Elephas maximus indicus: one gene and its partner. The protein of the gene in region 1 interacts with the protein of each later gene in a pairwise test. Links are inferred from orthologs where the notes say so. Each region holds a gene or a part of one and is shown in the gene's direction. Other genes may lie near its edges.

Region 1 (3,745 bases):
CACAGCAATCCCATGTGACACAGTAGAACAGCCCCTTAGGGTTTTCTTGGCTGTAATCTTTACATGAACAGATCCCCAGATTAAAATAATATAAATGAATGTAATATGCTATAATAACATAATAGAATTATGATATGTGATACCCACACCCATCGCTGTCGAGTCAATCCCGACTCATAGCGACCCTACAGGATAGAGTAGAACTGCCCCATAGGGTTTCCAAAGAGCGGCTGGTGGATTTGAACTGCCGATCTTTTGGTTAGCAGCCGAGTTCTTAACAACTAGGCCACTAGAGCTCCAATATGTGATACAACATATAATATAAAATCATTTTTAGCCCCTGAAATATTTTCTGAACAAAATCAAGCAGGGAAATGAGCTAGTATCTTGATGGAGGGTGTAATTTAGATGCGGTGGTCAGGGAAGTCCTCTCGGAGGAGGCAGCCTTTGGGAAGAGCCCTGATGACGACGAGATCTGTAGGAAGATCTGTAGGAAGAGAGACCAAGCTCTCGAGGTTGGCATAGCAAGAGGGCCATGGTTTTGGGATCCAAAGTTTCCAAGATTCCAAGTTTCCAGGACTCGAGCTCTGCCGCGACTCCGGTTTCCAGGCCACCAGGTGCTGGAATCATCCTTAGATTCGACGCACCTTAGAGGCCCTGGGCCGGGCAGCAGAGGTTCCTCGACTCCCGCCGCCAGGCCTCGGCCGGAGGCTTTCCGCGGCGAGGGGCGGGGCCGGCTCACCTGTGTGGGCGGGGCCCCTTGGCCGCCCCGCCCCCGGAGGCGCAGCCTGTGGCCCGAGACTCTGGGATCAGCTCCGAGCGGCCGGGCTGGGGGTGGTCGGGGAGCGGGGCGGCGTAGCTGGTGCCGGAGCCTCCGAGGTCAGGTAAGCCCCAGGGACCGGCCAGGGGTCCCAGGGGCCAGGTGATGGGGGCGGGGGCCGAGGGAGGAGCCTCGGGCCAGGAGTACCCCTGGGCCCGCTCACCTGGCCACCAGGAAGGGCCTTGGGGCCCCTGGGCGCCCCCTTTCCAGGCCGGGGTTCCCGGGGATCTGGGGGCCTCGCTGGGGCCGCGCCCCCTCTCCCGCGCGTAGGTAAACAGGAGCGAGGACGGGGCGGGGCCTGGGGGAGGGGGGAGGAAGGGGGCCCTTGTGACGGGCGCAGGGAGGGAGGGATCCCTGGGTGCGGGGTACGGGGTGCGGGGCTGGGCCGGCGGCCAGGGGTAAGCGTACGCGGTGGGGGGAGTATGATGGGAACCTCCTCCCTGCCTACCTGCGTGTATGCGTGCGTGTGTGTGTGTGTGTGTGAGGGATGGTGTGAGAGGCTCTGGTGTGTACGAGTGTGTGTGATGGTGTAAGGCTGTGGGTATGGATGTGAAAGGGTGCTGGTCTCTGTGTGTCACTCCGTGAGGGACCTAAGGGCCTGTGTGTGGGGCAGTGTCAGCGAGGTGAAAAAGTGAGCAAGCTTTTGACTGTGTGCACCTGTGAGTTGGATTGTTTGCAGGACTTTGTGTATGTGATTGCAAGGTTGTGTGACTGTGGCCAACTTTCTGCTTGTGGATGATGTGTGTGTGGGAGAGTTGGGCTGTTTCTGGGACTTTACGTCAGGACAAAAGATATGAGACTTAGGAGACCATTGGCAGCTAGTGGTTGTGTGTCCCTGCATGAAGCTGTGCGTATAATGGGGAGTCCAACTGTTTCTAGGCTTATGTGTGTGATCAAGAGCGTAGCTGTGGTTACCTTTCTGCCTGAGCCATGGTGTGTGCGTGTGTCCATAGGACTGCGTGAGTGATAACGTGCCTGCAGTTGACTCTGTGTGCCTCTGTGAGGGTGCATGTGGCTGTGTGACTGTGTCAGGGAGCTGGGATGTGTGCTGGGGAGGTGGGTGTGAGGCCACGACTTTAGAGAGGGACTGAGGGGGTTGACCGTGACTGGCTGAGCTGCTCTGACCAGGCGGGACGTGCAGTGAAAGCTTGCCTGTTATGGGGGGCTGGTTGAGTGTAGGAGAAGGGCGCTGGAGGAAGGGATGTCCGAGTGATGTGTGCCTGGGATTATCCCCCAGCCATTCTGTGGGATGACAGAGAAGAAGAGGGCGTGTGTGTCCGGGTCGATGTGTGAGGTGACTGTGGATCTCATCCTGTCACGACGTGCCTCTGCACAGGAGACTGTGCAGATGAAAGGGGTCCGCTGCTCTGGGAATGGAGGAGCCTGGGAGATGGTGTGTGTTAGGAGGCTGCCCGAGCCTTGTGTGACTGTGGGAGGGCTGGGTGGTCAGACTGGCTGAGGTGGCGTGTGACCTTGGGGGAGGTTGTGTCTGATGGCAAAATTGTGTGAATAATGGTTGTGGTTGTTGGGATGACTGTTGATGAGCTTGTGTGATTGTGAGTTCCACTATGGCTTGTGTGTGAGGTATGAGATTTTATATATATATATATACACACACACAGTAACACCTGTGAAAGATGGAGCCTGTGTCAGGCAGAAATCTGTCAGAGAAGGAAAACTAAAATATTTCCCACTAATAGAGAGCGATAGAGAAGCGGTAAGACGGCACCCTGTCAAAGGCAGAAAACTTACAAGACCTGGAAAAGCAGGGCAGTCCCACGGAGTTCCAGCTCTCACAGGTTTCACACACACACATCTCACACACACACACATACATATACACATATACATATGCATGTATGGAGCCTCTCGGTGGCTCAAATGGTTAAAGGCTCGGCTACTAGTTGAAAGACTGGTGGTTTGAGCCCACCCAGAAGCCCCTTGGAAGGCAGGCCTGGCGATTCGCTTCTGAAAGGTCACAGCCTGAAAACCCTATGAAGCGGTTTCTTCTCTGCACCCATGGGGTCGCCGTGAGTCAGAACTGACTTGATAATAACTAACAACAACAATATGTGTGTATATGAAAGGGGGAGAGAGAGACTGAGGTTAATGGCGATCAACAGTCGGTTGTACAGTCCACAGGATTCCATTCACGCCCTTTCTGTATGTATCTACCAACCAGTTGCAGGCAAGTCGATTCCGGCTCATGGAGACCCCATGTATGTCAGAGCAGAACTGTGCTCCATAGAATTTTCAGTGGCTGATTTTTTCTGAAAGCAAATCACCAGGCCTTTCTTCTGAGGCATCTCTGGGTGGACTCGAACTGCTAACCTTTGTTAGCAGCCAAGTGCACTAACCGTTTGCACCACCCAAGGACTCCTGTATGCGTCTAAGTGTGCTTGATCATGAGTGTGCTAAGAGGTGCTAAACCCCTGGGCTGCTCATGGTGGACACAGTGGCTTCAGTGAAGTGTACCTGAGAGGATGGGTGTGAAAATCGGGGAACTGCCTTCTCTGTGCAGCCACAGGTGTCTGCGCTGTGGGCACCGCTTCCGGCAGGGTAACTGAGTCTGGGAGGACTCCCTTGTGTTTGAAGCTCTCTGTGTGTGTCTGTGGGTATGCAGTGTGTAGGTGTGTGAGTGTGTGGCTGTCCAGGCAAGGACGTGAGGGAGCATTTGGGGAAGATGGTGACAGGTTCACAGTGACTCCTGGGAGGCGCTGCGGAGGTAGTGGGGAGTTGGCGGCTTGCAGGCTGTGTGAGCGTGCGGGAGTGTGTATGTCGTTGGGACAAGCAGAGAGATCAGGAGACGGTCTAAATCTGAGGGATTTGCTTATACTTTCTGAGGCGAGGGAGCTAAGGGGAGGAGAGAGTTAGTTTCCGTGTGGGTTGGCTGTTACTCCAGAGAGGAGAGTGTGCCTTTGTGTT
Region 2 (3,745 bases), on another chromosome or scaffold:
TTGGTAAAGTAGAGGGTCAGCGAAAAAGAGGAAGACCCTCAAGGAGATGGATTGACACAGTGGCTGCAACGATGGGCTCAAGCATAACAAGATCGTGAGGATGGCACAGGACCAAGCGGTGCTTTGTTCTGTTGTACATAGCGTCGCTATGAGTTGGAACTGACTCATCTGCACCTAACAACAATGTCCTGGTGGCACAATGGTTAAGCGTTCGGCTGCAAACCATAAGGTTGATGGTTGGAACCCACCCAGCAGCTCCACAGGAGAAAAGACCTGGCAATCTGCTCAGGTAAAGATTACAACCTAGGAAACCCTATGAAGCAGTTCTACTCTGTCATATAGGGTTGGAATCGACTCAACTGCACACGACAACTGTCTGCTAGCAGGAATCCTTGTCCTAGCCCCAGGACCTAGGAGTCCTTGTCCCTAACCACACCTCCAAGGACTCCCTACATCCACTTCTCCACATCTCAGGAGTTCCAGCTCCCACCTAGTATCTAGGCCCCCAGGCCCCCAGCACTCAGGAGTCCTGGCCCCCATCCAGATGTGTGCTAGAGCCAGCTGATCCCAGGTGACAAAAGCTCATTGTGCACATCCCCTCCAAACTTCTAATTCAGTGACGTCACATCTATAGCTTGAAATCTGCAGTGAAGGGACTATTTATACCAGGGAAATTGGCAAATGCTACAAGTGAGTCCTCCCCATCCCTGGGAGCCTGTTGTTAAATATCTACCAGCACACCACTGCACCAGCTCTCCTTTTGTCCAAGGTCTGCCTGGAACATGACTGCATGCCCAGGCTGCATTGGGGCTGGGCCCTAAGCCTCAGGCCCAACTCCTCCCAGTCTCCATTTCCAGCCCTCCATCCCTGATAGGAGCAGGCACCCAGCTCTGCACAGCTCAGGAGCCTCGTCGGAGTGTGGAGCTACATGGATTAAGGTGTGGCTGTGGGCAACTCACTTTAACTGAGCCTCGATTTCCTCATCTGGAGTGTGGAGATCAGTCTAAGAGCACAGACCTTAACATCACACTTCTGGGGTTCACATTCAAGTTCAGCCCGTATGACCCTGGGCAAGTCAGGTGACTTCCCTGAGCCTCAGTTTCCTCATCTGTAAGATGGGGATAACAGTAGTTCTGCTTCATGAGGTAATAATGAAGGTAAATGAACTATGCCTATAAAGAGCTTATTTAGCAGAAAGCTTAGTATCAGCTTTGTTGTTATTATCATTGTTACTAATTTCCTACCTCAGAGGACAGTTGTGAGGGGAAAGGAGCCAACATCTAGGCTCAGCGTAGGTTCTGCGTACAGTAGGTGCTCATTTGGTCATTTCCAATGGCTTCAAGGTGCCTCTGACCAGGGTGGAGGCAACTTTCTTTCGGCTCCACCTGGCCATTCCGGCCATCAGGGGGCGCCCCAGCCCCGCCCTCAGCCCCTCCCCCTCACCTGTGCGGGCTGCGCACCTGGCACCGCCTCCGGAAGAGGAGACCCAGGACCGCCGAGACCTCGGTCGGAGCCCGACAGGGGGCTGCGGGTGAGAGCCCAGGTGTCGCCGAGGGCAGGGGCCTTCGAGCCTCGGGCAGGATGGGCCGGGCCGAGTCGGCGCGAGAGGAGGAATGCGGGAGCTGGAGGGGCTGCCGGACTCCTGCCCCTGGGAAGCAGAAGGCTGCCGGGGGAAAGGAAGGCTGGCTGGGCTTCAGATCCTAGGGCCGAGGGCTAGGGGGCTGGGGGGCCCGACGTCTGCGTTGGGACCACCGCGACACCTGGATCCGGCAGGCAGGTGTGAGATTCTGCGCCTGGCGCGGGGAGGAGGGGAGAAACAGGTGTGCGAGCGAGTGTATTAGGGGGAGGGGCTGGGGTCTTCCGGAGGCGGAGGGGTAGTTCCCAGGGAAGTCCCGTGGTGCGGGCCCTCGTGAGTCCCTGAACAGCCCGGCCTGGGCGCCCCAGAGGAGCGGCGGGCTCTGAGTCCCAGGGGCAGGCCGGGAAGTAAACAGAAACCCGGAGTCGTGCCTGCGGCGCGGCCAGCACAACCTGTTACCTCGCCCTGTCTGGGCCTGACGCCTGAGCCCTAGGAAACTGGGGGCCGGGGTGGCACTGCAGAGGGGAGGGCTGGGGCTCAGGATACTTGAGTCCCCAAGGGTAGAGGCCAGAAGGCCTTGGGCCGGCAAAAATTGGGGGCTGGGATGGGAATCCCAGAAAGGGTAGATGCTGGGATCTCTGAGTCTGGAGAGGTGGGGACCAGAACACCCTAGTCCTGAAAAATCAAGATCATGAGAGCCAGGATACCTGGGAGGGCTGGGGGCTGGAGACCAGGACATCAAGTCCTGGGCTTCTGGAAGGGGAGGGGGCTGAGCTATTGGTGGGGGATCAGGGCCCCTGAGTTCCCAAAGTGTGGGGTCCTGGATTCCTGGGAGGAGAGGGATCAGATTCCTCTTTGTGTCCTGAGTCCTGAAGAACCAGGGTTCTGGGAAAATGAGCTGAGTTTCCCAGATTGTCAGCGGCTGGAAGCCAGAACAGCTGGGTGCAGGGAACACAGGGGAAGGGGCAGGAACTCCTGGTGGGGTGGCCTCTGGCCCCAAGCACTGGGACAAGTTTTCCTGATGCAAAGAATGTCTGGCACAGGCAAAGACAAGCTGGCTCATTTCTTTCTGCTCCCTGACTCAGTTTACCCTGGGGACTCTAACGAAACCAGGTGGCCAAGACACAGATCATTGACCCCTCTTGGCCCAGGGAGGTCCTGCCTGTAGGGCTGGGAGGGCCAGGTGGCCAGATGGGCAGGTGGAGACTTGAAGGAGGGCCAGGTCTTGGCCAGTGGGGTGTAAGCCCCATCGGGCTGCAGAGTGGAGTATCTTGTGCCCACAGATGCTTCAGGCACCATGAGCTCCCCAGATGGCCCAAGCTTCCCATCGGGGCTGCTCTCAGGGGCCACCTCCCCCAGCGGCAACGAGGGCTTCTTCCCCTTTGAGCTGGAGCGGCGTGGCTTATTCCTGGGAGGGGGCCCCGAGCCCGAGGAACCTGAGGACCTGGCCCTGCAGCTACAGCGGAAGGAGAAGGACCTGGTGCTGGCCGCCGAACTCGGCAAGATGCTCCTAGAGCGGAATGAGGAGCTGCAGCAGCAGCTGGAGATGCTGAGTGCCCAACACTCGGAGCGTGAGGAAGTAAGCTGGCTGTCAGGGACCTGGGCCAAGGGTCAGGGAGCAGGATGGGCAGAGGGAGGACAGGTGGCCAGAGGTGTAGAGGGGAAGGGGGCCAGGCAAAAGGAGGACAGGTGGGCGGAGTGCAGGTGAGCAGGGGACAGGCAGGTGAGTGGGGGGAGAACATTGGGTAGGGGAAGACGATCAGGCAGGAGTGGGGAAGAGAGGGGGCTAGGTAAAGGGGAGGCTGGCAGGAGGCAGGCAGGTGAGCAGGTAGCAGGCAGGTGGGAAGGGGGAGGACAGCTGGGTAGGGGAGGATAACCAGGCAGGAGAAGGACTGGCAGACAGGTGTGGCCAGGTGAAGGGACCAGACAAAGGGGAGGACAGACTGTTAGGATGCAGGCAGGTGGGCAAGTGCACTGAGGGATGACAGCCAGGTAGAAGGACACCTCTGGACCAGTTTCCAGCTGGGCCTTGTCCCCTCAGTATTGTGGCCCAATGGTCCAGAGCATGGGCTCTGAGGACAAGTCAAGGCTTGGCTGTGTGGCGTGGACAAGCTGCTGGCCCTCTCTGAATCGTGGGACCTGAGTTACCTGGCCCTGGGCTCAGCACTG

What was found. The genes of interacting proteins can lie anywhere in the genome.
Region 2: the proteins of KLC3 (region 1) and BICDL2 interact in binary tests that used the Homo sapiens proteins (3 or more experiments, as listed by UniProt). The two-hybrid records come from large-scale screens. The link is inferred for Elephas maximus indicus from reciprocal best matches to the Homo sapiens genes KLC3 and BICDL2.

The regions. Positions count from the first base shown.
Region 1 is NC_064829.1:104,373,860-104,377,604, reverse strand, and holds the start of KLC3 (kinesin light chain 3), read left to right. Parts: upstream 1-770; 5' UTR 771-884; intron 885-3,745. UniProt on the Homo sapiens protein: Kinesin is a microtubule-associated force-producing protein that may play a role in organelle transport. Plays a role during spermiogenesis in the development of the sperm tail midpiece and in the normal function of spermatozoa.
Region 2 is NC_064830.1:60,098,186-60,101,930, reverse strand, and holds the start of BICDL2 (BICD family-like cargo adapter 2), read left to right. Parts: upstream 1-1,535; 5' UTR 1,536-1,613; coding exon 1,614-1,777; intron 1,778-2,836; coding exon 2,837-3,155; intron 3,156-3,745. Other genes in the region: proline-rich proteoglycan 2-like, read left to right, coding at 1,344-1,535.